Linked DNA regions of Oryctolagus cuniculus. The protein of the gene in region 1 interacts with the protein of each later gene in a biochemical or structural test. Links are inferred from orthologs where the notes say so. Each region holds a gene or a part of one and is shown in the gene's direction. Other genes may lie near its edges. The genes, in order: RANGAP1, E3 SUMO-protein ligase RanBP2 and USPL1.

Region 1 (9,915 bases):
TTCTTTCCTGGCACCACCACCCCTGCACCCTGAGGCCGTGGATTCTCCCTTTACCCTGCTTCCTCTTTCTGCTTCTCTCTGCCTCCGCTTTCCGATTCCCACTTGTGGGGCTTGGGGCAGGTGTTTGCTGCGGGTCAGCGGGCTCTTTGGTGTGGTGGAGTCCCTTACCTGGGCCACACCCTTGCTCCTTCTCAGGTCTTCCCCCTTCCATCCGGGACAGGGCCTCCAGACACGCCCGTGCACTGACCTCACTTCTGCAGGCACAGGCCACGGTGCCGGGCACTGTCAGGGTCCCAGAGTGAGGCTCTCTGGGTAGAAGTTAGAGGAGGCCTCAGAGCTGCTGGAGTTAGGGCCCTTGCCTGGAGGGGTGGACACGACCAGGTGAGGCTAGGGGTCAGGATGCAGGTTAAATGCATCCATTTGGGTGCTTACGAATAGAGGGTCTTGAGTTAGAAGAGGGAGGAACGGCCCGGCTCGGCGCGTGCTGCCGGACTCTGCTGCGTGAGATGCTTTACTGAGCTGCAGCATTTAACTTCCCAGGCTTTGAGGAGGTTTATCTCCATGCTCCTGGCGGTGAGAGTGAATCTGGAGAAGGGAGAAGAGAGTTAGAGGTCAGGGTGGCATGACCTGCGGGGAGGGTGAGGGGCTGGGCATTGGTTGGGGCCAGATCACCAAGCACAGGGCAGCCTGAGAACACTTGCCCTTGTTTAGTGAGGGAGGAGGGCAGTAGAAACGGCCACAGCAACCACGCCCCGGTCTGTGTGTGGACGGCCTCCCCTCTGTGTTTCTGTCCCTGTCGGCTGCAGCCCAGCCCACTTCTGCCTCCAGTTCTCTGAGCCTTCTCTCCGTGACCATCTCCCTGGGGACTGTGGGTGTCCCCAGCCAGAGGGGTTCCCAGGAGAGCTCAGTGTCCTCCTGCCAAATCCGGTCCCTGTCCACCTCCATTTGCCCAGTTACCCGCTGAGTCCCTGGAGGCCTTTGTGGGGCCCCCTTCCCCCCACATCCATTTCTGCAGCCTCCCTTCGCTGCACGGAGGCCCAGGTTCCTCTTTCACTTCTGCCACACCAACCAGTGCCACCTTGTACTCCCAGGGGGCGCACAGCCTCCAGCCTCCCTCTGCCCGACTGTCTGCCTTAAGGACCTTCCCTGCGTGTTCCGTGGCCATCAGAGTCTCTCGCTCTCAGGCTTAGGCCCAGTTCCTGGCCTGGTGTTTAAGGCTCTTGCCTTATGTGACCCCTTGCTTCCAGCCAGAGCTCACCCATTGATTGGTGTCCTTTCGGGTTTACCAGCTCCTTGCTCCGGCACACGGCATGCTGCTTCACGCTCATGTCTTTACTGCTGCCCTCCTCCTTTCGTGTGGACTGGCTGACTCCAGACTGAGCTCAAATGCCACCTCCTTCAGGGGGTCTTCCCAGACCACTCAGACCCTACTCCCTGGCTGCTAGGAGCCCTGTGCAGGGTTTCCAGTCGCGGTTGTGTGATTGGAAGGCTCTGCACTGAAGTAGGCTGTGTCTGCCTGCTGCCCCCTCCTCTGGGTGCCCTGAGGGCTGGACTGAGCCCAGCACAGAGGCAGCGCTGTGAAAGTGACCTGCGTTCCCTTGTCCAGATCTCCCTAGGGGAAGGACTCGTCACAGCTGGGGCCCAGCTGGTGGAGCTGGACCTGAGTGACAACGCGTTTGGACCCGATGGCGTGCGAGGCTTCGAGGCCCTGCTCAAGAGCCCAGCCTGCTTCAGCCTGCAGGAGCTCAAGCTCAACAACTGCGGCATGGGCATTGGCGGCGGGAAGGTAGGCGCCGCAGTCCTCTGCTCGCAGGCCTCATTGTTCTCTTCAAAGAAGAAAGGCCTCAAAGGCTGGGAGGGAGAGGAGTCTATGAGGGAGGGGTTGCTAAGCAACCATCCCAGTCTCCTGGGTTGGCTTGGCAACGGGGAGCAGTGCCACTGCATACCTGCACCTGCCGAGTTCTCAGAGCAGCCGGCAGAGCCAGGGCGAGGAGGCCCAGAAGGAGAAAGGGGCCGCTTGGGAAGGTGCTCCCAGCTCCCCTGTCTGTGTCCTTGGGTGGGGCCTTGCCGCAGGTGCCTCGCCCTGTCCTGCCACGAGTCAGTCTGGTCTGGTCGGTGTAGAAAGAAGCTTTGCTTGTCAGAACTCACACCCAGACAGGCTGGCCTCATTACTCTCCTGGACCCATTGAGAGTCGATCTGTTTCCTCTCTCCCTCCCCCTGCCTCCCTCCCTCTCTCCTCTTCTCTCTCTCTCTCTCCCCTCCCTCTCTCTCCCCTTCTCTCTCTCTCCTCTTCTCTCTCTCTCTCCTCTTCTCTCTCTCTCTCCTCTTCTCTCTCCCCCACCTCTCCCTCTCCCTCTCTCTTTCTCTTCCCTTCTCTCCCCTTCCCCCTTCCCCTCTCTCCCTCCCTCCTCTCCTGCTTCCTTCCCTCTCTTTCTCTCTCTCTGCTGGGGACATGGGTGTGAAGGTGAATGAGACACATGAGTTGCCCCCACACTGCTGCCTCCCTCTCCCCAGAGAGTAGATGGGCTCAGAGAGGTGGGGCTGATTGTGGGGCTTAAAACCTCATCCAAAGGCTCCATTCACAGCAACAAGAGTTGCCAGGGTGGGGCTTGCAGTGCCCCAGGCTGGAGCCAGAGTGGACACCCCCACAGGATGTGCCTGTCTCCCTGCCCCACAGGAGGGAGAGCATCCCTTCTCCTAGCCTAGCTGGACGGTAAGCAGTCCACGTGTAGAGATGTCATAAAAGCATTCACTTCCTCACAGAGAATTCATCGCCCACCCAGAGGAGCCTGCTGCGAGAGCAGGGACACTATAGCGTGTCCTGCCTGTGCTCCCATCACCTCCTGTCTGTTGCATAGCATTGCCAGGAAGCACACGCAGGGCTTCCCCAGCTGCCCAGTGGCTGTATGGCCTATCCCACTCTGAGTGGTGGGCATAGGAGTTGGGAACGCAGAGACCTTGGAACCCCAGGACCAGGGCCTCCTCTGTAGACCAGCTCTATGCTGGGATTTGAGTTGTGCAGTAACTTCATTTAGCCATGGACTGTTGTTCCAAGACCCCTGGTGAGTGCCTGTAGCCTTGGGCAGTACCAAAGCCATGTATGTATACTCTGTTTTTTCCTCTATATACATACCTGTGACAAAATTCCATTTCTCATTTAGGAATAAGAGATTAGCAAAAAAGAACAGGTTCTGGTGTTATGGTGCAGTAAGCTGCTGCCCACAAGGCCAGCATCCCATGTGGGTGCAAGTTCGAGTCCTGACTGCTCCACTTCCAATCCAGCTCCCTGGCTAATGATCTGGGAAAAGTAGCAGAAGATGACACAAGTACTTGGGCCCCTGCACCCCATGTAGGAGACCTAGTTGATCCCGGTTGCCCCTCTTCCAGTCCAGCTCTCTGCTGTGGCCCGGGAGTAAAGTGGAGGATGGCCCAAGTGCTTGGGCCCTGCACCCCATGGGAGACCAGGAGAAGCACCTGGCTCCTGCCATCGGATCAGCGCGGTGCACTGGCCGCGCCAGCCATTGGAGGGTGAACCAACGGCAAAAAGGAAGACCTTTCTCTCTGTTTCTCTCTCTCTCACTGTCCACTCTGCTTGTCACAAAAAAAAAAAAAAAAAGGAGACCTAGTTGAATCTCCTGGCTTCAGCCTGGCTCAGCCTTGGCTGTGGCAGCCATCTTGGGAGTGAACCAAAGATGGAAGATACACCTCTCTTGCTCTTGCTCTTGACTCTGTCTCTCTCTCTCTCTGTAACTCTGTCTTTCAAATAAATGAATCTGTTTTTAAAAAAGTTAAAACAGCATACTATAATAGAAGTTAATTGGGGCCAGCACTGTGGTGTAGTGGGTAAAGCCACCACCTGCAGTGCCGGCATCTCAAATGGGTGCTGACATCTCATATGGGTGCCAGTTCGAGTTCTGGATGCTCCACTTCAGATCCAGCTCTCTGCTATGGCCTGGGAAAGCAGTAGAAGGTGGCCCAAGTCCTTGGGCCCCTGCACTCATGTGGGAGACCAGAGGAAGCTCCTGGCTCCTGGCTTCGGATCGGCGCAGCTCCGGCCGTTGTAGCCATCTGGTTAGTGAAACAGTGGATGAAAGACTTCCTTCCTTCCTTCCTTCTCTCTCTCTCTCTCTCTCTCTCTCTCTGCCTCTCAAGTAAATAAATAACTGCCTTAAATAAATAAATCAATCTCTAAAAGTTAATTGCCTGTGATCACTCTGTCTGAAAAATATTGTACTATAAATCTTACCATACATTTTTTTTCCTTAGGAGCTTTCACTTTTTATTTATTTTTTTAAATAAGAAAGAGAGAGAGAGGTCTTTCATCCAGTGGTTCACTCCCCAAATGACTGCAACAGCCAGAGCTGGGCCAGGGGGAAGCCAGGAGCCTGGAACTCCATCCAGGTCTCCTGTGAAGGTGGCAGGGGCCCAGGTACCTGGGCCATCTTCCGCTGCTTTTCAGGTACATTGGCGAGCTGGATCAAGAACGGAGTAGCTGGGACTTGAAGTGGGGGCCATACGGGATGCTGTCATTCGCTGTGCCACAGTGACCCCACCTCTTCACTCGACAGAAGTGTTGCGGCTTCTCTTTGTCAGATCTGAATTGCCAGAATTGCAGACTTTGGGGCCAGGGTTAAGAGACAGTGATATTTTCAGGCCAGGGTTGGCTACCCTGAATGACAGGAGACTACTGCAGTTCTCTGTTGCCCCCTCACCACTGATCTGATGAGTCCTGGGGTCCTGGCGGCTCCACCTCTTCACTCGACAGAAGTGTTGCGGCTTCTCTTTGTCAGATCTGAATTGCCAGAATTGCAGACTTTGGGGCCAGGGTTAAGACAGTGATATTTTCAGGCCAGGGTTGGCTACCCTGAATGACAGGAGACTACTGCAGTTCTCTGTTGCCCCCTCACCACTGATCTGATGAGTCCTGGGGTCCTGGCGGCTGCAGGCCTCAGGTCCTTTGGCAGCTGTTCCCAGCAGGCTGTGTGTGTGAAGTGCGATCCGTGGGCCACACACCATGGGAATTGGAGGGGCCCTAGATCCAAGGTCTGTCAGGAAGTTGGAGTCCTGCAGGAGCCAAGGCCCTCCACATGGTGGCCTCAGCAGAACAAGGGGCAAGCAGGGTGAGCCACCTTAGAGAGTCTGATGCTTCTGCACTGTGCATGCACACGACCCCACCACTGTGGAGCTGGTGTGTGCTGACCTTACATTCTTCCAGGGCAGCTGTGTGGGCTCAGGCAGGAGCCAGGCCAGTCTGTGCAGTATTGGTGAGCCCCAGTTCTTCAGCTGACAACGGGGGTGACCATGGTCCCAGCTAGCAGAGGCTCTGCCGGTGCAGTGAGCTAACTGGGGAGTCCCCCCCCCCCGGACCTTAAAGCCGGGTGACTCTGCCCTGGCTCTTCCCTCGGACTCCCTGAGACTGAGCGCCACAGGCTAACACACAAACCAAGTGATAGATGTAAACTGTGAAGTCTGGGGCCCAGATGAGGCGCGATCTGGCCGCACACCCACTGCCAGTGGGTGCGCAGGATGCACACGGTGGGGGCCCCACAGGGACGAGGGCCCCCTGCCCATGGCTTGTTCCCCTTGCTTTTGCCTGCAGATCCTGGCTGCAGCTCTGACTGAGTGCTACCGGAAATCCAGCAGCCAAGGCAAACCACTGGCCCTGAAGGTCTTCATGGCTGGCAGAAACCGTCTGGAGAACGATGGGGCGACTGCTTTGGCAGAAGCCTTTGGGGTGAGTGTTCCTGTCTGTCGTGCCCTAGGCACTGATGCTGGCTAGGCCTACCAAGCTGAGAGTCTCGGCTGTGCATCCCAGCGCCGGCATTTAGCTGAGCCAGTGGAGATGGTCACTTACCCTCTCTGAGCTTGTTCACTCCCCCGCAAATGTGCGTGTCTAGAAGACACACTCACCATCTGGGGCGAGCCGCTAGCAGCTCCCCGAAGCTCTGTGTGAGAGTACTGTGAAGGCTCGAGACGGAGTTAGAGCTGAGGAGCCTGGCACGGCTTCCCTGTGTGGACTGCAGAGAGGGATCGCATCCCACTTGCCCGAGACAAGGAGACTGGGAGGAGCTTCTGAGGGGCCCCAGCCAATGAAGCACTCTTGGGTGACCTCCCCCAGTGTTTACTTGTGACCACTCCGCCCCCACTCCCAGCTGTGCCGTGCACCCAGGACAGCAAGACTGGCCCAGGTGCAGTGAAGTGCCTGTTCCCCATCCCAGGGAGCAGTGAAGGCGGGATATGGGCCTCTGGAGAACTCACTCAGGGTTGACGGTGTACAGGTGAGAACGTAGGCTTTGATGATGCAGGATGAGGAACCCCACCGGAGGGGAAGACTCAAATACTTGGGATGTGGAAGAAGAGCACTGGACGAGAATCCAGGAAGCCTTCCTGGGAGAAGTGTCCACCATGAGAGTGCATAGAATGCAGCAGAATAGGAGGGAACTGTTATAAGCAGAGATGGGGATGGCAGAAGGCCGGAATGAGAGAGGGCCAGGTGGGTTAGAGGAGCCCTTCCTCACCTCCCAGGACGTGGCTTGTAGAATGCCGGTGGAGGAGGGCGTCACCCAGAGGACTGAGCCCATGTCCCCAGGGCAGAGGACTGGGGAATCTGGAGTTTGGGCTGGGCGTGAAGCCTCGTCACTGAGACCTGGTTAAGATGCCCGCGTCCCACATGGCAGTGCCTGTGTGAGGCCCAGCTGTGGCTCCTGATTCCAGCTTCATGCAGGCGTACACCCTGGGAGGCAGTGTTGGTGACCCAAGCTGTTGGGTCCCTGCCTCCCATGTGGGACACTTGGATTGAGTTCTTGGCTGGTGGCTTCAACTTCTGCTGTGTCCCAGCGTTTGCTATTGCAGGCATTTGGGAAGTGAAGCAGCAGATGGGAGCTTTCTCTGTCAGCTACTCCAAAAAAATGAAATCTGGTTCCAGATCTGTTTGACCCTGGGCGAGTCACTTGGCCTTTTTGATTTCTCCTCTTACTGGTGGGGATCCTGACTCCACCTTGGTGAGACTGCGGAGAGGATCGCCTGCCATTTTGCCCCCCGAACCCACAGACAAGCCCTGCCTGGTGCTGGCGACAGCCCCTCCGCATGCGTGCTGTGTGGAGCCGCTCTCCCACCGCCGATGTGCCTGTCACTTGGGGGCCAACACTCTGCTCTCCTTCCTGCCCTCACAGATCATCGGGACTCTAGAGGAGGTCCACATGCCGCAGAATGGGATCAACCACCCTGGGGTCACAGCCCTGGCCCAGGCTTTCGCCATCAACCCCCTGCTGCGGGTCATCAACCTGAACGACAACACCTTCACTGAGAAAGGGGGGGTGGCCATGGCCGAGGTGAGGCAAGTGTGGCAGAGCCGGGTCACAGCCCCGTGGGGCAGGGCCTGGCTGCTGCCTGGGCTTCATTTGCAGGTGGCTGTTTAGCCCTCACTTTTCTGCCCACCTGGTGTGCACCCCATGGGCCCAGCCCGTGTGAACACGTCCAGAGTAGGGTCACGTGTCACGGGGAAGCCTGTGCCTTCCGTGGGCAGCTCTGGGGGTGCTGCTTTGTACTCAGACGGCACAGAGAAGGCTGCTCGTGCTTGTCTCTTCCTCATTGACTTGTTCAGAGATGGTTTTATTGAGCCCTTTCGGTGCTTGGCTTTGAACCAGTGCCTTCAAGGAGCTGTAGTTGAAGAAGGGGAGGAAACTGCTGACCAGTGACAGGCAGGCTACCTGCATGCCAGGCCCGGTGGGGAGGGCTCCACAGCCCTGCAGGGGCCTCACCCTGTTGCTGTGGCGGCAGATGTTGGGGAGCTTACATGAGTGAAGATCAGGTCAGGTGTGTCCTGGGCTTCCTGGAAGAGGTTCCATTTTGGCTACATTGTACAAGACACACAGATGCTACAGAAGGTGGGACTGGGGGTTTCAGGCAGAGGCGTCTGGGCTTGTGGGAAGCCAGGGACTCAGGAGGGAGCCTTGCTTTGCCTGGTCCTGGCTTCGCAAGGCCAGGCCAGAGATGAAGGGGGAGAGGCAGGACTGTGTAGCCTTGCTAACTCCTTGAGCTATGGAAGGTCCAGTAGTGGTGTGAAGTGATTAGATCTGTGCTCCAACACGAGGCATGGGCTGGCCCTGGAGGCCAATGGGGAGGTGATGAGAAGAGCTAGTGGGGTGTGGAGGTAACCAGACCAGGATACAGAGAGGATGCCGTGTGGTGACTGATGGGGGCAGGGAGGGCTGGGGTGAGGCCTGGACCCTTCCTCCTTGCAGACATTGAAGACCTTGCGGCAGGTGGAGGTGATCAATTTTGGGGACTGCCTTGTGCGCTCCAAGGGTGCCGTTGCCATCGCAGATGCTGTCCGTGGGGGTCTGCCCAAGCTCAAGGTATCACCAGTGCCATCTGCTGTCTTCTTCCCAGCCTCTGGGCTTCCCCCATGCTGGGGGTGGGGTCTGGTGGGGAGGCTGGTGGGCCGGGGTCCATACCCCAGCTCCTCTCCCGGCCACTGCGGTTTTGTGCACGTTCCTCCCCTCCCTGTAAAACCAGAAGAAGGTGTGATGTGCACCATTGTGTAGGCTGAGTGCTCTTAATCTGAAATCAGGTGCTCCAAGTTCTACAACTTTTGAATGCCAGTGTGACACCACAGCTGAGCTTGGGATGGGTCACCATCAAAACGCAGGCACCCTAAAATGACCATGTACACCTTTGGGTGTACATGAAGCAAATGAATTTCATGTCTACGTTTGGGTATCAATCCCAAATCTTGTTGCGTGTATGCAAGTAGTCCAAAATCTGAAACCGTTTGAAATTGGAAACATTGGTGTTCCCAAGGATGTTCTACGTGTGGTTCAGTTGAGGCAAACACACTTGGCCCTTGGCACCTGGTTGCGTGTGTGGCATTGTGTTTTTGTGTGTGTTGCTGTTCTCGCCCCCTTGCCAATCTGGAGGGCAGAGCCTGCCCTCTCTTCCCTCGGGGAGGCTGAGGCTTCAGAGCAGGACCTGTCTCTCCGCCCAGTTCCTGCTTGCCTCCACCACTTCCTCCTATTTTTAGGAGCTGAACTTGTCCTTCTGTGAAATCAAGAGAGATGCTGCCGTGGCAGTGGCCGAGGCCGTGGCCGACAAGACTGAGCTGGAGAAGCTGGATCTCAATGGTAGTGAGGGCAGGCGGCCTGGGCACAGACCCGCCAGGCTGGCCTGGTGCTGTCCTGACCAGCCCCTTTCTCCATGAGCAGGCAACACCCTGGGAGAGGAAGGCTGTGAACAGCTGCAGGAGGTGCTGGACAGCTTCAACATGGCCAAGGTGCTGGCGTCCCTCAGGTAGGGAATTCCGGGGGGCGGGGGCTGTCAGGCCACCTGTTCCTTCGTGGCCACTCTCCGTGTCACTGAGCTTCTGTTCTGGGTCAGGCTCTGTGCCAGGCGTGGGAGGTCTGAGGACATCTGACTCGCAGGAAGCGGAGAGAGGAATTGTGTCTTCAGCAAAGAAACACAGAGGGCTGAGCATGGCCACCCTTAGGAGTGGGTGAGCCAGGGGCCTCTGAAGTGACGTCAGGTTTGGTCCTGACCCAGCAGCAGCTGGCACAGAGGGCCGTGAAGCCAGGGCAGTGAAGGGGTGTGAGTGGGCACAGCTGGGGCCCAGGGTTGTTCCCCAGACGCTGACTCTAGGAAGGAAGCGACTGATGCAAGAGAGCGGGGCTCTGCATGTGGGGTGGGGTAGAGGTGGGGAGCGGACGCGCTGCCTCCTGCTGCACTGCACTCGGTCTGTGCTGGCAGCCCCGCCTGCTGGTCTGCAGCTGCACCTCACTGATGCTCAGTCTTGAGTCCCCACTGCAGGCCTGTGCTGCTGCCAGGAACTGGGGACTCAGGGGCTGGACCTCAGGAGGATCCCGGTCTGGGGACAGTGGAACAGCCTTCCTCGGGGCAGGGACAGCTAGACCTTTGCCTCC
Region 2 (10,571 bases), on another chromosome or scaffold:
AATATTTGCATACATGTGATAAAGAGTTAATACGTAAATACTTATGGAACTCAAACAACTCCATAGTAAGAAAACAACCCAGTTTAAAAATGAACAAGGGGTGGGCATTTAGCACTGAAAATATGTCACTGCTTGGGATGCCTGCATTCCATATTTGAGTGCCTCACTCCTTCACTTTTTTTTTTTTTATTTGATAGGTAGAGTTATAGGCAGTGAAAGAGAGAGAGCGAGAGAGCAAGAAAGGTCTTCCTTCTATTGGTTCACTCCGCAAATGGCCGCTATGGCCGGCGCCCTGCGTCGATCCAAAGCCAGAAGCCTGAAGCCTCTTCCTGGTCTCCCATGGGGTGCAGGGCCCAAGGACCTGGGCCATCCTCCACTGCCCTCTCAGGCCACAGCAGAGAGCAGGACTGGAAGAGGAGCAACCGGGACTAGAACCTGGCGCCTATATGGGATGCTGGCGTCGCAGGCGGAGGATTAACCAAGTGAGCCACGGCGCTGGCCCCTCCTTCACTTCTGATCCAGCTTTCTGCTAATGTGCATGCTGGGAGGCAGATGACAGCCCCAATACTTGGATCCCTGCCACCCTGGTCGCAGACTGCTGGGGTTCTGGGCTCCAACTTTCAGCCTGGCCCAGCTCCGGCTTTGTATCTGGGGAGTGAACCAGCAGATGGTAGGTTTCTATCTCTCTGCCTTTTAAGACAATGAAAATAAAAAATTATTAAAAATGAAGAAAAGACCTGCATAGACATGTCTCAAGATATTCAAATGGTTATTAGGTATATGAAATTATGCTCAACATCACTAATCATCAGAAAAATATAAATTAAAACCATGATTATGTATCACTTCACATCTGTTAGAATGGCTATTTTGGCCGGCACCATGGCTCACTTGGCTAGTCCTCCGCCTGCGGTGCCGGCACCCTGGGTTCTAGTCCCGGTTGGGGCGCTGGATTCTGTCCCGGTTGCTCCTCTTCCAGTCCAGCTCTCTGCTGTGGCCCGGGAAGGCAGTGGAGGATGGCCCAAGTGCTTGGACCCTGCACCCGCATGGGAGACCAGGAGGAAGTACCTGGCTCCTGGCTTTGGATCGGCACAGCGCCAGCCATAGCGGCCATCAGGGGAGTGAACCAATGGAAGGAAGACCTCTCTCTCCGTGTCTCTCTCACTGTCTATAACTCTCTCTCTCTCTCTCTCTCTCTCACTGTCTAACTCTGCCTGGCAAAAAATAAAAATAATACAAAAAAAGAATGGCTATTTTATCAAAAAATAACAAGTGCTGATAAGTATATGCAGAAAAGGGATGTACATTGTTGGTGGAAATGTAAATTAGCACATTTTGGAAAATATTTGTAAAATTTGTAAAAAATGAAAATAGAATTATATGTTTCAACAATCCTTTTTGGGTATATATCCAAATAAAATGAAATCAATGTTTCCTTTAACAAAAGGAAATTTTGTCATATGCAACATGGATGAACCCAGCAGGCAGTGCTAAGTGAGATAAACTATACACAGAGGAGAAAAATACCATATGATCCTGTATGTGAAATCTAAAATCCTGAACTCAGAAGCAGACAGCAGAATGGTGGTTGCCAGGGTTGGTGGTAACTGTGGACAGAATGGAGAGCCATTGCTCAAAGTAAAGGCTCAGGGTGGACATGTTCTGGAGATGTGTAGACAGCACCAGCTGGCCTCAACATCTGGAGCTGTGCCTATGTGAAGCCAGGAGCCAGGAGCTTCTTCCAGGTCTCCCATGCAGGTGCAGGGGCCCAAGGACTTGGGCCATCTTCTATTGCTTTCCCAGGCCATAGCAGAGAGCTAGATAGGAAGTGGAGCAGCCAGGACTTGAACTGGCGCCCATGTGGGATGCCAGCACTGCAGGCAGCGGCTTTACTGGCTATGCCACAGCACCGGCCCCTAGCTAATGTATTCTTGAAAACTGCTAAAAGAGATCTTCAGTGTTCACACCGTTTACATACAACAAAGCATAACTAGAGGATGTGGAGGCTATGTTTATTGCTTGGATGTAATTATTTCACAATCTACAAATATATCAAATTATGTTGTGCATCAAAAATACATAATTTTGTCAATTATATTTCCATAAAGTTGGAAAAGTGCAATTGCAAAATGATAGAATAGACACTTATACACATACAATGGGGCTACATCCTGATAAACCCCATCGTAAATTGAAAGTATCAGTCTAAAATGCATTGTATACAACTAACCTACTGAGGAACAACATGGCTCAGTGCTGCCTGCCTTACATTTGCTCCGGATACTTGCCTGCAGCCTACAGTTGAGTGTTATGAGACAGTATTGTGCTGCATATCTCCAGCTAATGAAAGGATCAAAAATCAAAGTACAGTTTCTACTGCACACATATAACTTTAGTACCATCATAAAGTCAAAGGGGCATAATCTAGGAACAGTCTTCTGTATATCACAGGACAATAATGTAAGTGAATTTTGAATGCCTCGGTAGAGACATTATACCACTTGACAAACTTGTTGCCAAAATGAAGAAAACATATGACTATCCTAATAAATGCAGATATATGAACTGCCTAGAGGGAGAGAGAACTCCCATCTGCTGGTTCACTCCCCAAATGCCTGTAATGTCTGGGGGCTGAGCCAGGCTTAAACCAGCAACCAGGAATTCAATCCAGGTATCTCACAGGGGTAGCAGGACCCCAATTACTTGAGCTCTCACTGCTGCCTCCTAGGGTCTACTGGGGGAAACTGGAGTCCGGAGCCAGGGCTGGGAATTGAATCCAGGTATTCCACAATATGGACCTCTTCACTGCGAGGTTAAGCGCTGGTCCTAAGAGGTTTTTTGAATTCCTCATGAAGGTTCTCTCCTTGGTCCACTTCTCAGTATGTTCAACTTAACAAAGATCAGTATTTTTCACTAGGTGAGTGTGTTTGGGCAAGCTGTTTTAGTGCCCATTTTCTTGGTCTGTTGGAAAACATAAGATAACAAATAACAGTACACTTGGAAAGTCATTGGGAAAATTAAAAGAGTTAATGCATGTGAAGTGCTATGAAAAGAGCCTGCAGCAGCAAGTGTTTACTTGTTAGTTACGGCTATTTTTACCAACATACTTCCCAAGGCTAACTTGTAGTTCCACTTATTTCCTGAGGGTTCTGACTTCCAAGTCTGTCACAGATCTTTGTCTTATCCTTTCATCTACATACGAGGCCAACTCCATCTCTATGTATTTCACCTCAAGGGAAAGAAACCAGCTACCTAAAATAGGATATTCCATCCCAAGCTAGATGCTCTTTACATATTATTTGTTAAAGTACAGCAGTCACACTGGTAACCCAAGAATCATCTTTTCTTACCACAAAGATTGAAATAAAGAAAAAGATCTGTTTTTCCTTCTTCTTCATAAAGGTAATGCTTGTTCAATATAGAAAACACGGAAAATCCAAAACGGATAAAGATTACTCAGGGTCGGTGCTGTGGAGTAGCCGGTAAAGCCGCTGCCTGCAGTGCCGGCATCCCATATGGACACTGGTTCATGTTCTGGCAGCTCCACTTCCGATCCAGCTCTCTGCTGTGGCCTGGGAGAGCAGTGGAAGATGGCCCAAGTCCTTGGGCCCTGCACCCCATGGGAGACCAGGAGAAGCACCTGGCTCCTGGCTTCGGATCAGTGCTGTGCGCCGGCCACGGCGGCCATTGGAGGGTGAACCAACGGCAAAAGAAGACCTTTCTCTCTGTCTCTCTCACTGTCCACTCTGCCTGTCAAAAAAAAAAAAAAAAAAAAAAAAAAAAGGAAAGAAAGAAAAAAGGATTAGTACTATCAAGAATTCGATGTGTCCTGTCCTTCGGCCACTGAAATGTAAGTTGCAATCCGCCAAAAAATAGTATTTGTGGCCTATCTTTTTAAACGCATACGTTTTAAAATAAGTGCTTCGTATTCACATGTGTCCCACACGATGTACTTTAGCCAATCACCTCCAGGATTGCGCCAATTTACAGGCTCAACCAAAATGGCCCGACATCTTTTTCCTTCCACAACATCACGTGATTTTAACTAAGGCCAAACACGGAACGCTCTTAGGAACCCACGAGGTAAAACGTTATCTCGCGGCGGTGAACACCGGGCTCTCCGCCGCAAGCAGGAGAATCGGCCTCAGATTCGGCCACCCCGGCTGCGCCCGCTCGGGTAGAGCCCTCGGCCGGCAGTTCTAGGCGGGAGCGCCGCACTCGATGGCGTGGCGCACAGCGATGACGCAGCACGCACGCACGCCGCCCCGCCCCCTCCGCCGGCGACTGCGCTGCGTCACGGGTTTTCAAGCGCTTCGCTGCTGGACCCTGCGACCGCAGCGGGGCCTAACGCCTGCCGGCCGCTCGCCGGGAGTCCGGTCGGCGGCGCGATGAGGCGCAGCAAGGCCGACGTGGAGCGGTATATCGCTTCGGTGCAGGGCTCCGCCCCGTCGCCGCGAGAGGTGAGTCGTGTCCGGAGAGGCCGGGCCCTGGCCCAGCGGCGGCGCCGGCGCCATGGCTCCCGGCGCCAACCGCTCCCTGGCGCGTGCGGCGGAGGTCCGGGGCGGCTCGCCCTGCCCTGTGGGCGGCGCGGCGCTCGGGAGCGCTCGGGGAGGGGCGTGGGGGCGCGGGGGACGTCGGCGTTGCCTGCTTCCTGGGGCGGGGCGGGGGGCCTTCGTCCTCGTCAGGCCTGTTCCGTGCGGCCCGCGCTGCCCGGGCCCCCGGCTGGCGCCTCGGGCGGGCTCTGCCGTCCCGCTGCGGCCGCCTCTGGGCAGGGCGGCTGTTGGAACGCGGCGGGCTGTCCCCGCTGTGACGCTGCCGCGGCCGGGCAGGCGCCCTGGACTGCGGCCCGAGCGCGGGTGACCACGCGCAGTCCTCTCAGCCCCGCACGCCGAGCAAGCTGCTGTTTTATTTGCGGCCGCTTCCCCTTTACAGACGGGGTGCTCTGAGCTCAGAGTTTGCAAGTCTTTTTCCCGACAGCCAGTTCTGAGCACGTTTCTCCCTCCTGGATTACTTGGAGGCGGCGGCGGGGAGTGGGGCAGGTTACCACCGGTGGGCGCGCGCCGGCTCGTTGGTCTGCCTGCAGTTGAGTAGTTGCGACCCTGCCCTGGCAGACGCAGGTGGAGAGCGCGTTGAGTATCCCATCTGTAAAGCGGGCTTGATGAGGTGCGTGGTCGGTGCCCAACACCTCCAACGACGCCTGGCACGCCGTCAGCCCTACATGGGCGTCAGCTGCATCTCCTGGCGCTGGTGGTGTTGATGTTGGAAGTGAAGGTCTAGACGGCTGCTTCTGCATGGACGTGCGGGAAACGAGAAGTCTGTGTTGGGTGCAGAAAAGTTGTAAAGTTTTTGTATGGTTTTTTCCATAACACGCATTTCCCACGAACTTTGAGTTCTCATATTAGTGGTTGATCATGATTACAGTGCAACATAACGTGCCTTGTATCGTAGCCTAGTTATCTTACTTTATGCTCCAATAACTAAATACTGAGTCCTGCAGACGGGGAAGGTACTTGTCCAGGGCCAAGTGGATGGCTCAGCAGGGTGTTGGCAGTGGGTCTGATTGGCTTTTTTAGGAATAGTGTAACGGCCTATAGTCTGTCTCTCTGGAGAAGACACATAGGTTCCTACGTGCAGATGCCATTTCAAATCGCTGGCATAGTTTTTGTTTAAAGATTTATTCATTTATTTGAAAGGCAGAGTTGGTGGGGGCTGGGGACTCGAAGAGAGAGAGCTTCAATCCGCTGCTTCGTTCCCCAAATGGCTGTAAGGGGCAGAGCTGGGCTGTTCTGAGCCAGCAGCCGGGGCTTCTTCCGGGTCTCCTGTGTGGGTTCAGGGTCCCAAGCACTTGGGCCGTCCTCCGCTGCTTTCCCAGGCCCATTAGCAGGGAGCTGGATTGGAAGTGGAGCAGGTGGGACTATACCAGCTGCTGCCCATATGGGATGCTGGCACTGCAGACAGTGGCTTTACCTGCTGTATCACAGACCTGCCCCTGCATAGTCTTAAGTATGAATGTGTTAATAGTGTTAGAACCTTGTTGAAGGTTTCTGTAACTCCTAAGACTGGTATACTTTTTTTTTTGTTCTTATTTTTTGAAGCAAGTTTAGCATCTCCATAAGATTTTTTTTTTAAGATTTATTTATTTATTTGAAAGAGTTACAGAAGGAGAGGCAGAGAGAGGTTCTCCCTCCGCTGGTTCACTCACCAATTGGCCACAATGGCTGGAGCTGTGCCGATCTGAACCAGAAGCCAGGAGCTTCTTCAGGGTCTCCCATGTGGGTGCAGGGGCCCAAGGACTTGGGCCATCTTCCATTGCTTACCCAGGCCACAGCCGAGAGCTGGATCAGAAGTGGAGCAGCCAGGACTCGAACCGGTGCCCATATGAGATGCCGGCACTGCAGGCAGCGGCTTTGGCCCCCCTCCATGAGATTCTTAGTGGGGACCTTGGCTCTCAAATGTTAAGAAGCTGCCGCCTGTAGTTGCAGCCAATTGGGAAGTGAACCAGCAGATGGAAGACCTCTCTCTCTGCTTCTCTTTCTCTCTGTGTAACTCTTTCAAAGAAATTAAAAAACAAAAAACAAACAAACAAAAAAAACACGGTTTGAGACAGAAGGTAGAGTATTTCTACTATATAATTTCTGTCAGATAAAGAGGATTAGTTATGGCCACCTCTCAAACTTGAAGAATATTGTTTTAATTGGGTATTTTTCTTAAAGTGGATGCCTGAGAACTTCAGCAAAATATGAAGTAGCTAGTATGTAACTTTACAATGTGTGAAGATATTTTCTGTATTTTTTTAAAGACATTTTCGGAAGGGGGCAGCCAGGACATGAGCTGGCACCCATATGGGATGCTGGCACTGCAGGCAGAGGGTTAGCCTCCTGTGCCGCAGTGTCAGCCCATGAAGGTATTTTCTAAAGTTAGATCTGAATGCAATGTCAAAATAGGGTGAGTTGGATAATTTGGAAGGGGCTTGCTGGTGGAGGGGGCAGCAGCAGCTGTGAAGAGTGGGGAGAGAGGCACTGGCATTGTGGTGCAGCAGGTTGCATTTCCTGCGATTTCAGCATCCAGTATCCCGGTGCTGGTTCAAGTTCGGCCGCTCTGCTTCCCATGCAGCTCCCTGCTAATGCACCTGGAAAGCAGCGGAAGCTGGCCCAAGTGCCTGGCCCCTGCATCCGCTTGGGAGACCTGGATGCAGTTGTGGGCTCCTGTCTTGGCCTGCCCAGGCTGGGCTGTTGTGGCCATCTGGGCAGTGAACCAGTGGATGGAAGATCTCTGTCTCACTCTCCCTGTAACTCTGCCTTTCAAATAAATAAATAAATAAATGTTTAGCATTTTTTGAAAATAAAAGAATGGAGAGAGGTTAGTGCTTAATCTCTCATTTTGGCAGAGTCTGGCCATTCGTGAACTGACTGTACTTCCTAGGATGTGGAGCTCTGGGGTTTCTTGATACGTGTAGAATCTCATATGTTCCTAGTCTTCACTGAGTTTTCATTTGTTCATGTGCTTGTAGCTGTACCATGTTTCTGCTTCTTCACATCTACTTTTGTCCTTGTTGAAACTATTCTTTCTGTAATATTGCTTTTTACATATAATTTCTTTTGTCCTAAGATTCTGTCTGGTTGGTTTCCATTCTGCACCTGATTTCTACTCCTAGATGCTGCTGGACAGTACTAACTTGGTGGTTTGTTCTACCAATTACATCTATACTTCATACTTCTGATTTTATATATAGAGAGACAGACAGAGACAGCATGTGTGCACCAGAGGTCTCCCATCTGCTGATAATCTCAGGTGCTTGCAAGGACTAGGAACTCGCGATGGATCCCCCACCTGGGTTTGCGGGAACCTGATTACTTGAATCTCAGCAGTGCCTCCAGGGAATCAGCCCAGGCACTCTGGTGTGGGATGTGGAGGTCTCACCTTCTAGGCTTGTTTCCATGTATATATATATATATTTTTTAAGATTTACTTTTTTCTTTAAAGATTTATTTATTTTATTTGAAAGAGTTAGAGGGAGAGAGACATAGAGATCTTCATCTGCTGGTTCACTCCCCAGATAGCTGCAACAGGCAGAGCTGGGCTGGCCTGAAGCCAGGAGCTTCTTCTGGGTCTCTCACATGGGTGGCAGAGGCCAAAGCACTTGGGCCATTTTCTGCTGCTTTCCCAAGCACATTAGCAAGGAGCTGGATAGAAAGTGGAGCAGCTGGGATGTGAACCCATGCCCCTACAGGATGCCGGGGTGTCGGAGGCAGCTGCCTAACCTGATATGCCACAGTTGTGGCCTCCAATTTTTATTTCTTGATTCTGTTTCTTCTATTTCAGATGCTTTCTGTTGTGCTCCTCTAGAACTCTATCCACAGGCATTCCTTGTTTCTCCCTCATTCTTGCAATTTTTGGCTAAGTTAGTGTTTAGCATTTATATAATTACAGACAAATATTTTTGTGTTTAATTTGCCTTTGTGTGTAGTTTCATTTTTCCTGAGTTAATACTTGCTTTAAATTTTGATTTATTTATGGTGTATTGCTAATTCTTTACTCAAACTATTCAGTTTTAAACTCTGAAGTGTAGTCTAACAGGCACGTAATCCCATTCATTTCAGCCAAAAGATTTTTCTAAAACAGTTTTCTTATACTTGGAACATTGTTTTACTGCCACAGCATTGACTGTTTTTTTCTTTCTCTTTATTACACAGCTGTGGTCCTGGGACATCCCATTATCCTCACCTTGATAATTTCCTTTGCCTCTTTTTTTGTGTTAGACCATGTGTTTTTTGTACTTTATGTCTTCTTGATTTACTTTCATTGTTTTGGAGTAGGATAATCGTACTTTGAGAAGGAACGGATGAGAGCTGGTTTCTTTTTTTTTTTTAATTGTATGTTTGAGAAACATTTACTTACTTTGATGGATAATTTGGTTATCAAATTCTGGATTCAAAATAACTTCTCAATTTTAAGAGCATTTCTCCATTTCTGATAGTTTTATTATAAGTCTGATTTTTTTGGTAATTTATAGATTTCTCTGGAAGCTTCAACTTAGAGTTCTGGCGTATTATTTCTTTGAACTTTGCTTTTTTTCTCCTGTTTTCTTTCTGATATCCACATTAAGTAAAATTTGGAATTTGTGACTTGAGCCTCAAACTTTTTTTTCATTTCTTCCCCAATGTTTTCAGTGCTGAGCCCTTTTTTAAAAGTTTTTTTATTATTATTTGAAAGAGTTACAGAGTGAGTGATATCTTCCATTTGTTGGGAGAGACAGAGATAGAGATCTTCCATCTGCTGGTTCACTGCCAAGTGGCCACAAAGGCCAGGAGTCGGCCGGTGCCGCGGCTCACTAGGCTAATCCTCCGCCTGTGGCGCCGGCACCCCAGCTTCTAGTCCCTGGTCAGGGCGCCAGATTCTGTCCTGGTTGCTCCTCTTCCAGGCCAGCTCTCTGCTGTGGCCCGGGAGTGCAGTGGAGGATGGCCCAGGTGCTTGAGCCCTGCACCCGCATGGGAGACCGAGAGGAAGCACCTGGCTCCTGGCTTCGGATCAGCGCAGTGCTGGCTGCAGTGGCCATTAGGGGGTGAACCAATGGAAAAGGAAGAACTTTCTCTGTCTCTCTCTCATGTCCAGTCTGCCTGTCCAAAAAAAAAAAAAAAAATTAAAAAAAAAAAAAAAGCCAGGAGTCAGGAGCTTTATCTAGGTCTCCCATGTGGGTGCAGGGGCCCAAGTACTTGGGCCAACCTCTACTGCTTTTCCCAGGCCATAGCAGTATTGGCAGTGGAGTGGCTGAGGTATGAACTGGCACACATACAGTATGCCTGGGTAGTGGGTAGTAGGGTAAAGGTGACTATGCCATAAAGGTGGCCCCAAAGCACCCGACAGCAGGAGAAAAACCACCAAAGCAGGTCACATATTGGGAAGTTAAAAATGATGGTTCCATTATTTAAAAGAGGTCATCTTAAAGCATTCATCTAAACGTGGCCACATCCAAATGACTAGTCAAAAGAGATTGGTAAAGTATTGGTTTGACTGTAGATCTCTCCCCTGTCCCTCCTGGAAGAAAATTGACAGGAGGCTGGAGAATGGTTACGGATAGATGGGTGGCGGGGCGGGGAGGGAGTGAGTGACTGAGTCACTGGGCTGAGGTCCAGGAAGAATCCGAGTGCCTGCTCATTGGTCGTCTGGGGCAGGGCTGTCACATGTGTGGCTGGCCCTGAGCTTCCCACCTCTACTTCTGGAACTGAGGTCACCATCTTACCCACTTCACTGAATTCAGGGCCAGAGCACTGGATTCCCCACAGGCTACCTCAGGATCCAGATGGGGCTGGAGTACCAGACTGTACACGTGAGCAGGGCAGATGCACACTCTGACTGTTTGGGAGCGCACAGGCTGAAAAGCAAGCACATTTTTTTCTTCATTAAAAAGATTACTACTTTGACCAGGCAATGCATACAATGGGAACTTATTCCAAAGAAACGGAGAGACAGTGAGTGAACCTCTTCAGTATAGTCTCACCTCAGCCTCCCCTAGTGCATCCACATGGTTGTCATGTATGTGTTCATGTCTCTGGTGACCTGTGTTAGGAAGG
Region 3 (10,406 bases), on another chromosome or scaffold:
GTGCCATTTGGCCTTGCTGAGATGCTCTGCTTTTGGTCAGCAGTGGCAATGTTCCAGAAGCCATATTCAAAAAAACAGACTTAGCACACTCAGTCGTTTCTCAAATATGTACTTTTATCCATCTAATAGTCATGACTGCAATTTATCAAATTGGCCAAATGCCATAAACCACTGTCCTCTAAAATGCCTGCCCGTGACAGGAACTGGAGGCAGAAGCAGAAGCCAATACGAAGTCTGTGAATATGGGCTAAGTGGCGGGCACTGCACGTAAGACGCAGCTTGGGGTACCTGCATCCCACACCACAGGGCCTGCGTTTGAACTCTGGCTCTGCTCCTGTTTCCAACTTCCTGCGAATGCACACAGTGGATTCCTTAACTAAAGCACAAAGCACCCTAGCCTCTTGAAGCAGCAAATTAAAACCACGATCGTCGTGAGTAGCAGGGGTGTGTAGTTCTTGTTGGGTGCTATGGTATAACTTTATGTAGATTATCTCTCACACTCATATTATTATGAAGTCCATTTTCAAGACAAGAAAATCTGGGCTCTGAAAAGTTATCTAAGCCATACAGAAATCACACAAGGGTGGGCGTCGTGGTAGTGTGTTAAGCTGCCACTTGGGACACAGGTGTTCCCTACTGGAGTGCCTGCCATCAAGTGTGACTCTGCCTCCAGTCCAGCTCTCTGCCAATGCACACCCTGGGATGGCCCAAGTACTTGGGTTTCTGCCACCCACATGGGAGACCTGGATGGAGTTCTTGGCTCCTGGCTAGGGCCTGGCCCTGCCCTGGCTGTTGTGGGCATTCGGAGAGTGAAATCAGCAGATGGAAGACCTCTCACTTTTTCAAGTGAATAATAATCAACATTTTTTAAAAATCACAAAATCGGGGCCGGCGCCGTGGCTCACTAGGTTAATCCTCCGCCTGCAGCGCCGGCATCCCATGTGGGCACCCGGGGTTCTAGTCCCGGTTGCCCCTCTTCCAGTCCAGCTCTCTGCTATGGCCTGGGAGTGCAGTAGAGGATTGGCCCAAGTGCTTGGACTCTGCACCCACATGGGAGACCAGGAGAAGCACCTGGCTCCTGCCTTCGGATCAGCGCAGCGCGCCGGCCGTGGCGGCCATTGGAGGGTGAACCAACCGCAAAAGGAAGACCTTTCTCTCTGTTTTCTCTCACTGTCCACTCTGCCTGTCCAAAAAAAAAAAAAAAAAAAGAGAGAGAGAGAGAGAAAACTATGCATCAAGGATCTTGAAATTTTTTGCTTTAATAAGTAAAATATTTGTAATGCCCTTGTATGATTACAGGGGTGCTAAGATGGGCTCCTTTAAAACATGGCCTCTTGGGGCTGATGCTGTGGCAGAGCAGGTGAAGCCACTGTCTGCAGTGCTGGCATCCCATATGGATGCCATTTCGAGTTCCGGCTGCTCCACTTCTGATCCAGCTCTCTGCTATGGCACGGGAAAGCAGTGGAAGATGGCCCAAGTCCTTGGGCCCCTGCACCCGCATGGGAGACCCAGAAGAAGCTCCTGGCTCCTGGCTTCGAATCAGCACAGCTCTGGACGTTGAGGCTACTTGGGTAGTGAACCAGTGGATGGAAGACTTCTCTCTCTCAACCTCTCCTCTCTCTATGTAACTCTGACTTTCAAATAAATAAATAAGTCTTTAAAAAAAAATGGCCTCTTCCCACCAGTGGGTACTATTCTAAATTCCCTTATTAGAGGTTAGTAGGTTCTATCAGAATTTTTCTGGGAGAAGCAAGAGCCTACCCTGTAAGTTCAATGCGTCAGTCTTACTGTACACAAGTCTGGCTCCTTTTCATTTTAGCTACTCACTACGCACTTCTGTATGCTAGGCAGCGCACTGAGCACCTTCAATCCATTACCTTGCTTAATGGCAACAGAATTCTGAGTGGGTGGGCACAACCCCATTTTACAGATGCGAACACTGAAAAGGTGACACCATTAAAGTGTTTGGCTTGTCCGGGATGACACATTTACCAAGGGGCAGAGCCAGGCCCGAAGCCCCTGCTTTTCACTGCTGTACCCCCTTTTCTACAGGGCCCTTCAGAGTGAGCTTTGGTGCACAAAGATCGGTGGAATGAGACGGCAGATAAGATGAAAAATAAAAACAAGAACGTTGAAGAATATCATACACAAGTTAATATTCTTTACATGAATCCGTTCTTGTGTTCAAGAAGCCAGAGGTCACGCACTTGATCTTAGTAGGTTTGGTCGCCCTTGGGATGTCAGCGGATAGCCACTGCCCTTTCCTGACCCACCAGGAAGGCGGTAAACACCTGGGCTTGATTCCAGGGAGGAGGGGGGAGGCAGAGAAAGAAGAGTGCAGGCCCAGTGCCTTCCGCAGACACAGGTCCCCAGCGGTTTTGTGTGTGCAGGACGGTGCGCTGGTTTTGGTGACTCACAAGCAGAGAGAGTGGGAGGGAAAGAGAAGTGTGAGGCCTTGCCCAGAGGCAGTCATTCTGCTTAAACAAGTACACTAACAAAGCAAGTGACAAATGATTCAGCGTCTCAGTCTCTAGAAAAGTCACTTGTGAATTTCCAGACACCAGTGAAAACTGTGAGGAATGGCTGAGCTGCTGCCACGCGAAACTGAGCTGTCGTTGAACTTGGTCTGCAGGAACTTTTTCAGTTTGAACTTCTGCATCTTATTTTATGATCACTTAGCTTTCGGAGAGCAATTTTGCTAAGTGCTTAACCTAATCAATCTGCATCCACACAGAGACGCATGGGGCTCTACTTACATGCCCTTCATGGAATTGGGCCTCCACAAATCTTGATCTTTTTACGTGGTACTCTGCTGATTTTGTGTGTGTGGCTTTCTTCTTCACTGTGTTAAATGTTCTGCCCCTACGCTCTAGGGACAATGAGAACAAAAGTGTAGCTTTGGTTACTTCTTATCAAAGGAAGCTCATCGCCTGATTATTCAAAGATTTAATTAAATGCCTACTCTTATGTGTGTGCTACAGAGCTAGACCCTCTGCGAAGTCACCATCAAATGGATAAGAGCCACTCTCCACAGAGATGATGGTTATATATTCCTTGTTTTCTGGAGGGTTCTAATTTCATGAAATTCCCTTGTTAAATAAAGGCAATTCTTCATGACCTAAAATGCTTTCATTTTCATATTTTTGTAAGATTTTTATGTACAAATTATTTCTCAGAAAAATAGAATCCTAAGTCCTTTAAAACTACTCTTGTTTAAAAGTCTGGCTCCTGAATGAATGTGTGCTTTCATTATAAATTCTACACTTATAAATTAGAATCTAACAGACTGAGAGTGCCTAAAAGATGGAAGAAGAATCTTACTCTTACTAGAGAGGCACAGTACTAAGGACATTTTTTGTGTAAATAATTATTTTATTCTGCAGGCAAAAATCAACATAGGAAGTTTGGTGACTTAAAGAAGTAATAAAAGTGTGGGAAAGTACTTCTTCCAAGATTGTCAAAAAAGAAAAAAAAGACAACGTTATTTTATGGACGATCTAGTTGCAGAATAAAACTCCACTATTAATAGCTGGCATTGTGCCTGGTGGCTTTGAAGCCACAAACAGGTTAATGAAAAACATTTGTTCAATCTGTTCAAATCTAGCGAAAATGAGGATTGTTTAAACAAAGAATGAAAATAGCTCAGAGAAGTAAAGATTAATAAAGGATATTGGCGTTTTGTAAGTATTACTTTTTATTGTTTTCTATAGTTTAGTAATAAGTTTAATATTTGCATTCCAATAATGTTAGTGAAATATGTATGTATATACATATATTTTAAATGATGTAATGGGAAACTGTGCTTACATTTGCTTTCAGTAAGCCTAGTGCAGGATAACCCTCATTGTATGTGCCATTGAGACTGTACCTGAAGCCGCTTCTACAAGGGGACTTCAAACAGTTCATGGAAAAATAAATTGAAAAGATTAGTTTATTTTGGTGCAAAAAATGTTGAAATTCATGCAAAGTTTTTCCATAACATGTATTTCTATGAAATTTTTACTTTTTATTATTTTTTTGAAAATTATTTATTTGAAAGGCAGAGACAGAAACAGAGACAGAGAGATTGCTCATCTGCTGGTTCACTCCTCAAATGCCTGAAATGAGCAGGACTGGGCCAGGCTAAAGCGCAATCCAGGTCTTCCACATGGGTGGCTGCATACCCAAGTATTTGAGACATTGCCTACTGCCTCCCTGGGTGTGCGTCCGTAGGAAGCTGGAATTGGGGGCAGAGCAAGGACTCCAACCACGCACTTAGAAATGGGATGCAGGTATTCCAAGCAGCACTTAATAGCTGTGCCAAATGCCCCCTCCCAACATTATTTTGAAATCCAAATACACTTATCTTTTAATTCCATTTTCAACAAACTTTCTGATTAGCAGGTATTACTTTGGGAGGAAATAAAATAGCTTTATGCCTAGTTTTGTAAGTTATGATGGAAGAGTACAACTTAAAGAATGAAATGTGGGGGCCGACTCTGTGGCACAGTGGGTTAACGCCCTGGCCTGAAGCGTCGGCATCCCATATGGACGCCGGTTCGAGACCCGGCTGCCCCACTTCCAGTCCAGCTCTCTGCTATGGCCTGGGAAAGGAGTAGAAGATGGCCCAAGTCCTTGGGGCCCTGCACCCATGTGGGAGACCCGGAAGAAGCTCCTGGCTCCTGGCTTTGGATCGGCACAGGTCTGGCCATTGTGGCCATCTGGGGAGTGAATCATTGGATGGAAGACCTCTCTCTCTCTCTCCCCCCTCCCTGTGTAACTCTGACTTGCAAATAAATAAATAAATCTTTTTTTTAAAAAAAGAATGAAATGTGATGTCACCAAGTATCAAACAGTCCTGGCAGAGGTGGAACTGTCCATGGGTATTAGGGTAAGTGGTCTTGATGTAAACACACAAATTAGGAAGTCCCTTACTTTTGTATTTGTGTTACAAGGCAACTGTTAACAGAATGCAAGAACACCTTAGTGATAAACGTTCATGTTGGCCATTAGAGACTTTTCAGTTGCGTTTTGTAATGGCAATTCTAAATGCAGTTCTCCACTTTATGATACGGGCTACTTGCTATGAAAATTTAAAAATTAAGTAAAATATTTCATCAACATTATTCTAACAATGGCAAAATCAGAATTCAAGATCTCACAATCACGGTAAGAATATTTTAATGCAACTCTGCTTATGAACTGAAATTCCCCTTAACTTTTTTTTTTTTAGTTATTTTATTTGAAAGTCAGAGTTACAGAGAGAAGTAGAGACAGAGACACAGAGAGAGAAGTTTTCTACCCACTGATTCACTCTCCAAAATGGCCACCATGGCCGGAGCTGAGCCTGTTTGAAGCCAGGAGCCAGGAGCTTCTTCTGGGTCTCCCATGCGGGTGCAGGGGCCCAAGGACTTCGGCCATCCTCCACAGCGCTAGAGTGGAAGTGGAGCAGCTGGGACTTGAACCAGTGCCCATATGGGATGCCGGCGCTGTAGGCTGGGGCTTTAACCTGCTTAACCACAGCACTGGTCCCCTCTTTTTTTTTTTTTAAACTCTTCAACCTTTTATATCTTGAAAACATTTTTTAGCATTTCATCAGAGCAAGATATCAGAAGGGTAAATCTCTTATCAGTGAACTTTGCTAATTTTGTGTAACTCCATATCAGGTTCGGTGAGAAAGTGAATGAAATATGTTTTTATATACTTTTGCTTTCCCTAAATCCTAAGCCCAGGCCAAAGAATAAGGAATTTTAGATATTATTTAAAGTTTTGGATTCAAAGAGAGCATGATTATGCTTCAAGGGCTTTTGGAAACTCAGTTTCATGAGAACAGCCCAGAGGGCTCCCACACTCTTGGCTTAATCTCACAGTGACCTAGCTCTCTATCAACAAAACTGCCTGGCTCCTGATCTACAGAAGCCAAGGACCGACAGTTTCACTTTCAGTTTTCTGAACATCGCTTGTTTCAGTGAACAGCATCGGAATCTCCACTAAACAGTGAATTGTAAGTTCCACTCGACTTCGGACTAAGCTCATTAATCATGGGAATTGGACGATGACTTCTGGGGTGGGGGTGGGCCTATGGTTCCAGGAAGGCATCTTCGAAAGTCAGAACCCACTCTGCAGTACGCTGTGATGCAGGCTCCTCCAAATGGTAGCAGAAACGTATTACTGTCTAGAAAGTCAACAGCAGGAATCCAATTGTGGGATTCCATAGAAACAAGGACAAATTAAAATAAATGTGTGTTTAGAAGAAAGGTGTTATTTAAAGGAAAAATATTGGGGTGGGCATTTGGTGCAGTAAAGTCACTGCTTGGGGTGCCTGGATCCCATATAGGAGCGCCTGGTTCGAGTCCTGGCTCTGCTCCTGACTCCAGGTTCCCGCTAATGCACACCATGAGAGGCAACAGACAATGGCTTAAGTAGTTAGGTTCCTGCCACCCACAAGGCAGACCTGCACTGAATTACTAGCTCCTAGCTTTGGCCTGGCTCAGCCCCAGCTCTTGTGGGCATTTGGGAAATGAACTAGCAGATAGAAGACCTTCTCTCTCTGTCTGTCTCTCTTTCTCTCTGCTTTTTAAGTAATTAAAAATAATTAAAACAAAATACTATAATCAAGGTATAGCTTCTCTGTACATTCTTTATGACTTTCTGTACATTTAAAAACCATAATTGTATTTTTTAATTTAAAGAAATGAGTGGATTACTTCAAAATAGGACTACATTTTTTGGTATGCTTTAAAAAATTAAAATAGTGATTAGTAGACTGACAGGCTCACATATTTTGGATAAGCTGTTGACTATGTACAAAATTTATCAATTATAAAAAACTGCTAACTATTAAAAACTTCAGGGGTCAGCACTGTGGCATAGCAGGTAAAGCCACCACCTGCAGTTGCCGGTATCCCATATGGGCACCAGTTTAAGTCTCGGCTACTCCACTTCTGATCCAGCTCTCTGAAGTAGCCTGGGAAAGCAGTACAAGATGGTCCAAGTCCTTGAGCCCCTGCACCTTCACGGGAGATCTGGAAGAAGCTCCGGGATCCCGGCTTTGGATCGGCCCAGCTCTGGCCCATTGTGGCCAACTGGGGAGTAAACCAACAGATGGAACACATCTCTCTCTCTTTCTGCCTCTCCTATTCTCTCTGTGGAACTCTGACTTTCAAATAAATAAATAAATAAATAAATCTTTAAAAAAAAAAGTCATAGAACTATAGTGACCAAATGAAGACTGGAAAAAAAGATAGTCAAATGATTCCAAAAAGGATGGATCTGGGGGTGAATGGTGCCATCAGTAATCACGCTCAAAGGGCAAACGGTAGCACAGTGGCTGAAGAGAGACTTGTGATGCCTACATGCCTTCTCAAGGGAGCCTGGGTTTGCATCCCAGCTCCACTTCTGCTTCCAGTTTCCTGCTAATGCACAGCCTGGAAATCTCAAGTACCTGTGTCCCTGCCACCCAACTGGGAGGTGGGGACCGAGTTCCAAGCTCTTGGCTTCAGCCTTGTTCATCCTGGCTTTTCTGGGCATTTGGGGAGTGAACCAGCAAACAGTCTGTCTCTTTCTCTGCCTTTCAAATAAAATTAAAATTAAGAGCAATATCATGCTCAAGATTCTGAAGTATGCAGATCTGGGTTGGGTGGGTGAGAGGGAAAAATAATGACCAAATAGTCAAGGTAGATGTGAGATGCCCAAGGCACCAGGGAGAGAATCTTCCAAGTACAACAGAAAGGCCACATTCCCTGCAAAACCTTATCCAGCACCCTTTCCTCCAACTGGAACAGTTTCCCTTCTGAGTTTTCACAGCACTTTGTATTTCTCCAATAGCATAACTGTATACTGTTAGAGGAGGCAGTTCTGTGACAGCATTACAATTTTATAGTTAATTCTGTGGTTCTCTCGTTGCACCAATCACTTTTACCATAATTGTTCACAAGTTTTTCTATTCCTTTTACCATCTACTCCTCAACCCCAAGGCTTGCCTTACTAACTTATCTGTTCCTAAGCCAATGCTTGAAGTGTCTCTACATAGTAGAGGCTCAATGAACACTTGCTAAATGAATCCTCTTATGATAACAGCACTGTAAACAGAAACCCAGTCAACATTTCTTCTTGCTTTACTTTTCACAGAGTGCATTCATTTAATAAACATTCATCGAGAACCTACTAATTTCCATGAACTATGCTAAAAAAATGGGACTATAAAGAGGAACGTGATGAGGTCCCCAACCTACTGAGTGCCTCAAACCAGTGTAGCATTATGGGCCCAAATTTTCATGGAAAGGCTTCTGGAGATAAGATTTCATCCTTGGAATAACGCATATTGTGGGCTGTGCAAACCTTCTGGGACCTTTTTCTGGTTTGTTTTTAAACATTTATGTATTTGAATGGCAGAGTTACAGAGCGAGAGAAGGAGACAGGGAGAGAGGAAAGAGAGGGAGAGAAAGATCTTCCATCTACTGGCTGACTCCCCAAAACAGCCACAATGACCAGGACTGGGCCAGAGTCTCCCATGTGGATGGCACGGGTCCAGCCACTTGGGGATCTTATGCTGCTTTCCCAAGTACATTAGCAGGGAGCTGGATCAGAAGTGGAGCAGCCAGGACTCAAACTGGCACTCACATGCAACACAGGTCCCAGGTGGAGGCTTAACCTGCTGCACCACGACACCAGGCCCTTCTGGCACTTTCTGAAGCTATGCTATGCTTACTTACTTTGCTACAGGGACAGAGGGCTGTCCCTGATGCAGAAGCTTACACCAGTACAGCTACACATAAAAATTCCTTTTATGATGCTACAAAGCTTTTTAATTTAATGCTTACTAATACCTAGCATGATCTATTTTCCACATAATATACCCTCTGTCATATGCCTATACTACTAAAAATTCTATTAATCCTAGTACCAAAGATGTGTGTTGGCAAATCAGTTATTCTGTTTAATTTTATCTTGCTTGATATGTTAAAATCTACCAAAAATACAAATTCCGAGCAAGAGCTTCTGCATGGTGTGCATTTATGTATTATTCTTAAATGTTAGCTTATACACTTTTAAACTATAGAATAATATGATGGGGAGAAAATAGGTTTTTTATCAAGTCAAATTCCTGTTTATGTAGCTGGAAACAAAATAAGAAAGCAATTAACATACAAGCTAAGATGGTGACTACTCTAGCTTTTGCTTGCTTTTTAAAATTTTCAATTGAGGAACACAAAGTCAGTTCCCACGTTTTCAGCAAGAACTGAAGAACGCACGTGGGCATTCTTGACAACACTGGCGTCACTAACACATTCGCGAGTCTCATGGTTCACGTGACATCATTCCTGTCCATAGCGACAGGCTGTCCACTCTCACCCAGGGGTGACTGTGTTCAGTCTACCGATTCCACTGTGGTGCTGAGCACAGTGGGTCCTGGGTAACAGATGTGCAACATGTCCGTCACTCACTGACTCACAGCATCAGCTGTCCATTACTGACAGAAATTTTCACTGGGGATCTAGGTGGCTAATGGCGATCCTGTAAGGGAAGTCCCTCCTCTTCATGACTCGTAATGACGTTTCTCAGTGTCAGGCCTATGACAACATACTAAGTTAAAATCAATTTTCTTTCTTTTTTTATTTTTGACAGGCAGAGTGGACAGTGAGAGAGAGAGACAGAGAGAAAGGTCTTCCTTTTGCCATTGGTTTACTATCCAATGGCTGCCGCGGCCGGCACATTGCGCTGTAAAATCAATTTTCTAATAATATGTTATTGCTCTGTGTATAAAATGGGGTTAATCAATGGTGGAAAAAAATAAAAAGGGGTCACATTAAAAAATGTGTGCTCGCGGAGGCCAGTGTTGGGGCACAGTGGGTTGAGCTGCTGCTTGTGATGCCAGCATCCTGTATCAAAGCACCCGTTCTAGTCCCTGCTGCTCGGCTTCCGATCCAGCTCCCTGCTAGTTACTGTGCCTGGGAAGGCAGCGGAAGATGGTCCAAGTGCATGGGTCCCAGTCACCCATGTGGGAAACTCAGAAGTTCCAGGCTCCTGACTTCAGCCTGGTCCACTCTGGGCCATTGCAGCCATTTGGGGAGTGAATCAGCAGATGGAAGATCTTTCTCTTTCTCTCTGTCTCTCCCTCTCTATCACTCTGCTTTCAAATAAATAAATAAATAAATCTTAAAAAAAAATTTGTGCCCAGGCTGTAACAGCTGACAGCAATGTAATAACGTAATGATGTGCCATTTCTACTCCAACTATAGTAGACAAAAATTCCTGTTTCCAAGCCTTCGTCCACTGATCAATTTTCTTATCACTATTCCACACCAACACTACTATTTTCTCTTCTAGGGCAAGGTTTACACATTTTATACATGACTTCTTCCCTTACACACATGCATAAACAGAATTTTGATGTTTCTCTCTCCACTTTATTTAGTGTAACTGTT

What was found.
Region 2: the proteins of RANGAP1 (region 1) and E3 SUMO-protein ligase RanBP2 form a complex in vitro, tested with the Homo sapiens proteins (5 studies listed by BioGRID and IntAct, with this or other methods). The link is inferred for Oryctolagus cuniculus from reciprocal best matches to the Homo sapiens genes RANGAP1 and RANBP2.
Region 3: of the proteins of RANGAP1 (region 1) and USPL1, one has a biochemical effect on the other in vitro, tested with the Homo sapiens proteins (2 studies listed by BioGRID). The link is inferred for Oryctolagus cuniculus from reciprocal best matches to the Homo sapiens genes RANGAP1 and USPL1.

Annotation. Positions count from the first base shown.
Region 1 is NC_091442.1:117,322,265-117,332,179, reverse strand, and holds part of RANGAP1 (ran GTPase-activating protein 1), read left to right. Parts: intron 1-1,606; coding exon 1,607-1,786; intron 1,787-5,600; coding exon 5,601-5,735; intron 5,736-7,173; coding exon 7,174-7,332; intron 7,333-8,244; coding exon 8,245-8,358; intron 8,359-9,023; coding exon 9,024-9,123; intron 9,124-9,204; coding exon 9,205-9,289; intron 9,290-9,915. UniProt on the Homo sapiens protein: GTPase activator for RAN. Converts cytoplasmic GTP-bound RAN to GDP-bound RAN, which is essential for RAN-mediated nuclear import and export. Mediates dissociation of cargo from nuclear export complexes containing XPO1, RAN and RANBP2 after nuclear export.
Region 2 is NC_091433.1:100,109,381-100,119,951, reverse strand, and holds the start of E3 SUMO-protein ligase RanBP2, read left to right. Parts: upstream 1-4,250; 5' UTR 4,251-4,388; coding exon 4,389-4,460; intron 4,461-5,052; exon of another isoform or gene 5,053-5,163; intron 5,164-10,571. UniProt on the Homo sapiens protein: E3 SUMO-protein ligase which facilitates SUMO1 and SUMO2 conjugation by UBE2I. Involved in transport factor (Ran-GTP, karyopherin)-mediated protein import via the F-G repeat-containing domain which acts as a docking site for substrates.
Region 3 is NC_091440.1:83,982,435-83,992,840, reverse strand, and holds the start of USPL1 (SUMO-specific isopeptidase USPL1), read left to right. Parts: upstream 1-4,002; 5' UTR 4,003-10,406. UniProt on the Homo sapiens protein: SUMO-specific isopeptidase involved in protein desumoylation. Specifically binds SUMO proteins with a higher affinity for SUMO2 and SUMO3 which it cleaves more efficiently. Also able to process full-length SUMO proteins to their mature forms.